2 linked regions of the Drosophila melanogaster genome follow. The protein of the gene in region 2 interacts with the protein of the main gene of each other region in a pairwise test. Each region holds a gene or a part of one and is shown on either strand. Other genes may lie near its edges. The genes, in order: Or22a and CG17134.

Evidence for each region.
Region 1: the proteins of CG17134 (region 2) and Or22a interact in a two-hybrid assay, tested with the Drosophila melanogaster proteins (one large-scale study listed by BioGRID).

What each region holds. Positions count from the first base shown.
Region 1 is NT_033779.5:1,518,334-1,522,477, forward strand, and holds Or22a (odorant receptor 22a), read left to right. Parts: upstream 1-2,157; 5' UTR 2,158-2,279; coding exon 2,280-2,407; intron 2,408-2,467; coding exon 2,468-3,106; intron 3,107-3,225; coding exon 3,226-3,583; intron 3,584-3,649; coding exon 3,650-3,718; 3' UTR 3,719-3,823; downstream 3,824-4,144. UniProt on the Drosophila melanogaster protein: Odorant receptor which mediates acceptance or avoidance behavior, depending on its substrates. The odorant receptor repertoire encodes a large collection of odor stimuli that vary widely in identity, intensity, and duration.
Region 2 is NT_033779.5:10,819,177-10,822,467, reverse strand, and holds CG17134 (uncharacterized protein), read right to left. Parts: upstream 1,764-3,291; 5' UTR 1,736-1,763; coding exon 560-1,735; 3' UTR 501-559; downstream 1-500. Other genes in the region: CG6508 (uncharacterized protein), read right to left, coding at 2,074-3,291; Nos (nitric oxide synthase), read left to right, coding at 222-361.

The sequences.
Region 1 (4,144 bases), 9.3 Mb from region 2:
ATTAGACTGGATTTCCTTCAACCCGCAAAAATTTCACAAAGTCCGTGTACAGTCTAACTTCGCTAAAGGTGTCACAAGGAAAACTAATGTTTCTAGAAAGTATACGAAATACAAAATCATTAAGAGTACCTATTTAGCAAATTCATATTACGAAGTGTGGTGAAATAAGTTGCAGTTCATATCAGTAAGTTATAGGGCAAACTTAAGAAATTATAAAATTAAAGAATTTTAAAGAAGTTATAATAACAGACCGTGAAGGAAAAAGAAAAAGTGAATGTTTCCAGCATTGTCCTGCAGCAATTAAAAAAAATTGCATTCCCTCAAAGGATTGACTACTGCCAAAATCTGCATGGCCATGTGGAGCGGCCAAAGGTTTACGAGAAAATATAGTATGGAATTACACATATATTGATATAATTAGTTGAACTTACCCAAAACAAGCTAAAATAAATATGTTAAAGTACATTTATCGTGTATATGCATTACTTTAATAGCGATGTTCTCATATATATATTTTTCACCCTTAAACATTACCACTTAAAAAACTTAATCACTTAAATTCCAAAATATTTGCGTGCGTACCAATCCATTTGTCATCAGATCGCCGTCAATAAATTTATGTTATGTATACGTTGTTTGTAACCGGAATATGTTGTAAATTAGTCAAGCATATAATAGCTACTGTCGCCACAGTTTTAATTAGTTAGAGGAATAGCCAATTAAAACCAAAAATAATAGTAATAGTTCGGTTGTTTTCTTTTTTTGTACCATATTCTGTGGTGTTTCGGTCACAATTTAGACTAGACTTCAATGACCAACGATGAGAATCAGTCTGAATTCACACATATGGTATATTTTCCAGGAATCGTTGATTTAAAGATGAGTTTGTAAACTGTGTAACCTCTACTTAAGTTGACTTTTCAATGATTTAATTATAGCTTGTGAAACTCGCGATAACTTAAAAATTAAAAAATGCAAAAAAGCCCGTTTCGATCGTTTACACAAAAATATACCCATTAGGAATAAAATGCACGATCTGGAAGGATCATAATTTGCCAATACCCACCCATCTTTATAACTTAAATTGGATTGCGCACTGCAGACGCTGATTGAATTTTAAATTTCGTCTCTCTACCATGAGCCGGAAAAAAAAAATGTAAAATATTCCGATTAATTACCAGAACCGACAAAAGATTCTAGGGCGGGCACATGGACGGGTTGTCTCCGCCGAATGCATTTAATTTGCATGTTCACGAAGGTCCTTTTGTGTGCATTTGTATGTCTGGATGTCCGTCCTCAACGCCAATGAGTCAATATTATTACGGTCGACGCTTCACACTCTCCGTGAAATTGGCAAAAGGGAAAGCGGCCGCAAACGCTGGCAAAAATGCTTTCAATTAATTAAACACCCGAAAAGCAAGGCTATAATGAGAATGCAATGTGCTGTGCAAAGTGCTCTAAAGAGAGATGTTTGGTCGGGGAAACCCGCAGCGGGTCCCTCGATCAACTCAATCAACAATGATGCCAATTTACAGGACACTCGATGCACGTAGCGAAAGCTTAAATGATGTCCAAACTTTATATTATATCTTTGAAATTGTTTTAAAGTCATTTGGGATCTGTAAAGTTGTCTAAAGATTTGCTGTAATACATAAAATATATTTATAATATGATTGATACACGTTTAATCTCTTCTATTTAATTCATTGTGTGCCTTTCAAGGTCTTCAGCACATCATCATTTTTATACATTTTTAGAATATATTTCGGAAATTATAAATCAAATTTAAGCCGCATATTTTTCACGAGTGCAGTCTGCGGCATGCAGCTCATTAATAATACAGATAATGTGTTTGGCGGCAATCATTTTTCGGTTGCATGCCATCGCGGTGGCATTGATTAACACCGCCAATGGTCAACGCAATGTCAGACGAAAGGCAATGATATTGGGCGGGAAAAGGGGAATTCGGTTCAGTATGGTCGTATGAAGATGTATGGCGAATTAATGTATTTTTGGTAGTGTTTTACTCGGTAAATTGCTTGTTAAGTTCCTGATCGTTGAACGAGCATAATTCCATTCAGCTGAAATGTAACCTGCGGTCGATTAAATGTCATATGACATTTTCTACTGACATTCTTTAAAAACTTACAGCAAATACGAAACAGAACTAAAGCTCTTAAAACCGCCAAGTCATGTGAGACCATTTGCAACAGTGAGGCAGCCTATAAAAAGCACTGTTTCCCAGCTCAAGCAAATATTCAAACAAAGCCACGGACAAGATGTTAAGCAAGTTTTTTCCCCACATAAAAGAAAAGCCATTGAGCGAGCGGGTTAAGTCCCGAGATGCCTTCATTTACTTGGATCGGGTGATGTGGTCCTTTGGCTGGACAGAGCCTGAAAACAAAAGGTAATGAAATCAATGTAAGCACATATATAAGTATTAAAGCTACCATAATTTCCCGTAAAGGTGGATCCTTCCTTATAAACTGTGGTTAGCGTTCGTGAACATAGTAATGCTCATCCTTCTGCCGATCTCGATAAGCATCGAGTACCTCCACCGATTTAAAACCTTCTCGGCGGGGGAGTTCCTTAGTTCCCTCGAGATTGGAGTCAACATGTACGGAAGCTCTTTTAAGTGCGCCTTCACCTTGATTGGATTCAAGAAAAGACAGGAAGCTAAGGTTTTACTGGATCAGCTGGACAAGAGATGCCTTAGCGATAAGGAGAGGTCCACTGTTCATCGCTATGTCGCCATGGGAAACTTTTTCGATATTTTGTATCACATTTTTTACTCCACCTTCGTGGTAATGAACTTCCCGTATTTTCTGCTTGAGAGACGCCATGCTTGGCGCATGTACTTTCCATATATCGATTCCGACGAACAGTTTTACATCTCCAGCATCGCCGAGTGTTTTCTGATGACGGAGGCCATCTACATGGATCTCTGTACGGACGTGTGTCCCTTGATCTCCATGCTTATGGCTCGATGCCACATTAGCCTCCTGAAACAGCGACTGAGAAATCTCCGATCGAAGCCAGGAAGGACCGAAGATGAGTACTTGGAGGAGCTCACCGAGTGCATTCGGGATCATCGATTGCTATTGGAGTAAGGTGTTTCAAATGCTACAAGAACACTGTGTCGCAAAGACATAGTAAAATGAAATATTTGAAACAGTTTTCTTCTATTCCTTTCCTTTTTATTAATGGCCTTTTTTTATTTCTTAGCTATGTTGACGCATTGCGACCCGTCTTTTCGGGAACCATTTTTGTGCAGTTCCTCCTGATCGGTACTGTACTGGGTCTCTCAATGATAAATCTAATGTTCTTCTCGACATTTTGGACTGGTGTCGCCACTTGCCTTTTTATGTTCGACGTGTCCATGGAGACGTTCCCCTTTTGCTATTTGTGCAACATGATTATCGATGACTGCCAGGAAATGTCCAATTGCCTCTTTCAATCGGACTGGACCTCTGCCGATCGTCGCTACAAATCCACGTTGGTATACTTTCTTCACAATCTTCAGCAACCCATTACTCTCACGGCTGGTGGAGTGTTTCCTATTTCCATGCAAACAAATTTGGCTGTGGGTGTCAATATTTTAGATATATCATTGATTTTACACCTATTTTAAATTACTTTGTTATTATAGATGGTGAAGCTGGCATTTTCTGTGGTTACGGTAATTAAGCAATTTAACTTGGCCGAAAGGTTTCAATAAGTTGAGAGGGACGAGCTCTGCTACTATTATATTATATATTATATTATATTATATATATATTATTTTATATTATATATTGCTGTACCCTAATAAATATTTAGTAATATCACTGTTTTTCATATATATCAAACTTTGTGGCGCCCTCGGGTGGAAGAGTTTTGAAAGCCAGACAAACTGGAATACTGCAGTTTTTCGCAAAGGAAGGTGCATGGGTCGGATACACCACAACTGTCCACTTAATAAAATGCATTATTGCCAAATAACTAATGTAGTTACTTACAAAAAAAAAAACCGAAACATATAAAAGCTACAAAAACAAAATATGTGAGAGAATACAAGGGAAATGTATAATTCATACAAACTCTTTAAGAAGAGTTTCTTGGTTAATTGATCGATTTTAAACTTTTTTTTTTACTTATATTTTCC
Region 2 (3,291 bases):
GTTGGGCACACTGCGATCCATGGTTTCAGTCAATCCATAGTCCACATACCCATGCCAACATTAATGTATTTGCATATAAAACCGAGCCCCAAAGTATCCCCATTTATTTTTACACATGTCACTTTTATATACGCCACCGCCTGCCCGCTGGCCTTATGCTGATTTTCGATTCCGAATCACATTTGTTTGATGTCCAATCCCATCGCTCTTCCATCCATCAGGTCTGCACCAAGCTGGGCTGGAAGAGCAAGGGCAGCGAGTGGGACATACTGCCATTGGTGGTCTCGGCCAATGGTCACGATCCGGACTACTTTGATTACCCGCCCGAATTGATACTGGAAGTTCCGCTGACCCATCCAAAGTGAGTATAAAGATGCATGCAGATGGGTGCTATTACCACAGCTTACTATCGCTCTGATTTGTGATTTACTTAAATCTTACTTACATACATTGTAAGCAAGTAAACCTGATAGTTATTACCCACAGGAATACTCCAAGTTAGATTTTATGTATTGCATGTATTTCTCTTAGTTATTTCCTTTTCGATAACAACGTTATGTTAATAATCCGCCACCCTGGCGAAACCAATCCTTTCGTTGCCCTTGTCGAAAACCGTGTAGAACTTGCCAATAAAGACATCACCCAGAATCCAGAAGCTTAGTCCCTCCATGTAGGTGAAGGCGGACATGCAGTAGGTTTGGCCATTCTGCGTTACCTTGACTATATAATCCCTTGGTGCCAGGGTGAAGACAGTACCACCGATATTCAGGTTGACCTTGGGCAGGGATGAGACTCGGCCGCACCTCACGAATGCCTCACCGTCATTATCGGTGGCGCCCAGCTGGCGATTGATCTTCCTGTAAGCGGCCAGTGGAACTGCGATTAAGGAGGTGCCCGTATCGGCGATGGCTTGGCATCCGTTGCACAGCAAAGTGCCATTGGTCTTGATGGTGTTCACCTTGAACTGCCAGTAGGCAGGAACGGAAACGGGCACATAGGTGAGGCTTCCCCTATAGAGACTCGAGTCAATACCGCCCAGGATCAGTTCTCCACCGCGCACAGCGGTTCCCTGTCGCTTGAGATAGAAGGAGATAACTGGTTCATCGAGCAGTCCCTGGGAGATCATGTTGTCGAACGGCGGAGTCACTCCATCGACGGCAATCGCGCTGAAGGCCAGTCCCAGGATTCCAGCAAAAGGAGCATCCACGAAGGTTGTACCCGGCTCGCTGAGTGCTTCGCCGAATGTCTGATTCTGAATGCTGATTCCCGCTATGGTCACAATGTCGTTGGACAGGAAACCCGACAGACTACCAGTTCCGTATTCGATGGCGAACTCCTCACCATTGGCCACATAAGTGCTGGATGCCGAAGAATCGTATTTGTTGTGCCTCTGGCACGCGGTATTCGAAGCCGGGCAACTTGCACTTGGAACCCACAGATTGGCCGATCCCGTGTCGAACAGAATGTTGAATCTCTGCTCAGGCGTTCCGATAGCAATCACGCCGTAGTACTCATTGTTCATGGAATTGTGCAGGTTTTCGGTGGCACCCGACGAACTGACACTGAAAGAGGTCTCCGCCAAAAAGGAGTACTTCGATGCCAGCACGGTCTTCTCGGCCTTAACACTGCCATGGGTCTTGGTGAAATTCTTGTTCACTTGGAGCTGGACGCGATTCAACTTGGCAGCGGAATGGCCAATCCCGACAAGCACCAATAAAACTAACAACTGTCTCATGTCTGCGGCTGAAATTCGACTGTGAATAGATTTGAAATGGGTTCGAAATTTAAATAACTTTTCTGTCTGCTCTCCCATTTTTTTTGTATTGTCTAACTGCAAATATCCATAAATAGCCACGAAATTTTCCATTTCTGGAAGTTAATGACGTCCACGAGTTCTGTTGGCATACTTAAGCTGACTTGGAAACAAAGCCAACTCCAGTCGTAGAGATTAAAGAACTCGGCAAATATTTGTTGTTCGTTTTACAAATCTTCTTTAATACAAGTGTTTAGCCATAAGGTTTATGATGAAACAAATAGGCACGTGGATTAGTTTGGAGTTGAAATATAATTGACTCAAGTAAAGAATCTGGAGTATTCATCGCCGTAGAATGGGTAATCGATGCCGTAGCTAGATGGTTCTTTCACATAACTGGAGGCATAAACCCTATAACTTGAATGCTTCTTTAGTTTTGCGAATCCAATTCTCTCCTTGCCCACATCGAAAACCGTATAGACCTTTCCAAGGAAAATGTCTCCCAGTATCCATAGTAAATTACCCTGCAAGTATGTGAAGCCGGATAGGCACAGGGTTTGATTGTTATCCGCCTGGACCTTGTAGATGTAATCCTTTGGCGTTAGTGTGTAGGTAGTGCCACCGATATTTAGATTAACATTCGGCAATCTACAGAGACTGCTGCAGTCCACAAATGCTTCTCCATCTCCGGCATCAGTGGCATTCAACACTTTATTGATCGCTTTATAGGCTCGCAGGGGAACGGCGATGAGCGAGGTGCCAGTATCGGCGATGGCCTGGCATCCGTTGCAGAGAAGGATGCCCTCGATTTTCACCGAATTAGCCGTAAATTGCCAATAGGCAGGCATCGATACTGGAACGTAGTTGATGCAACCCCTGTAGATGCTCCGATCGATTCCACCCCAGATGACTTCTCCGCCAGACTGTGAGGTACCATCGCGCCTGAGGTAGACGGAGAACACCGGATGTTTGACCAATCCCTGCCGGATGATGTTGTCAAAGGGAGTGGTGACTCCGCCGGAAATGGACGCAAATGCCATTCCAATTATGCCATCAAAAATGGTGTTCACAAAGGCTGAACCTGGTTCATCGATGGCCTCGGCGAATGTCTGATTCCTGATTACCATACCATCGATGTCCACCGTATCCGTGGACAAAAATCCAGACAAGCTGCCTGAGCCGTACTGTATGCTAAATCCTTTTCCATCCTCCACGTGGGAACTGGACGCACTCGAGTTGTATTTATTGTGCTTTTGGCAGGCTTCGTTGGTGCTTGAACACTTTACACTCGGCACCCATAAGTCGGATGATCCAGTGTCGAACTGAAGATTAAAACACTGCGGTGGTGTTCCGATGCAGAGGCGAATGGTGTACTCCAGATTGAATCCGTTGGCTAGCACCTGTGTCGTTTGTGATGATTGTCTGTCCACCAGAAAGTACTTGGCCGCCAGCAAGATCTTCTCCGCCTTCACATTGGCATGGGTCTTGTTCTGGTTGATCTGACGAGTGATGGGAGTCCTCCTGAGTTGGCCCATCGA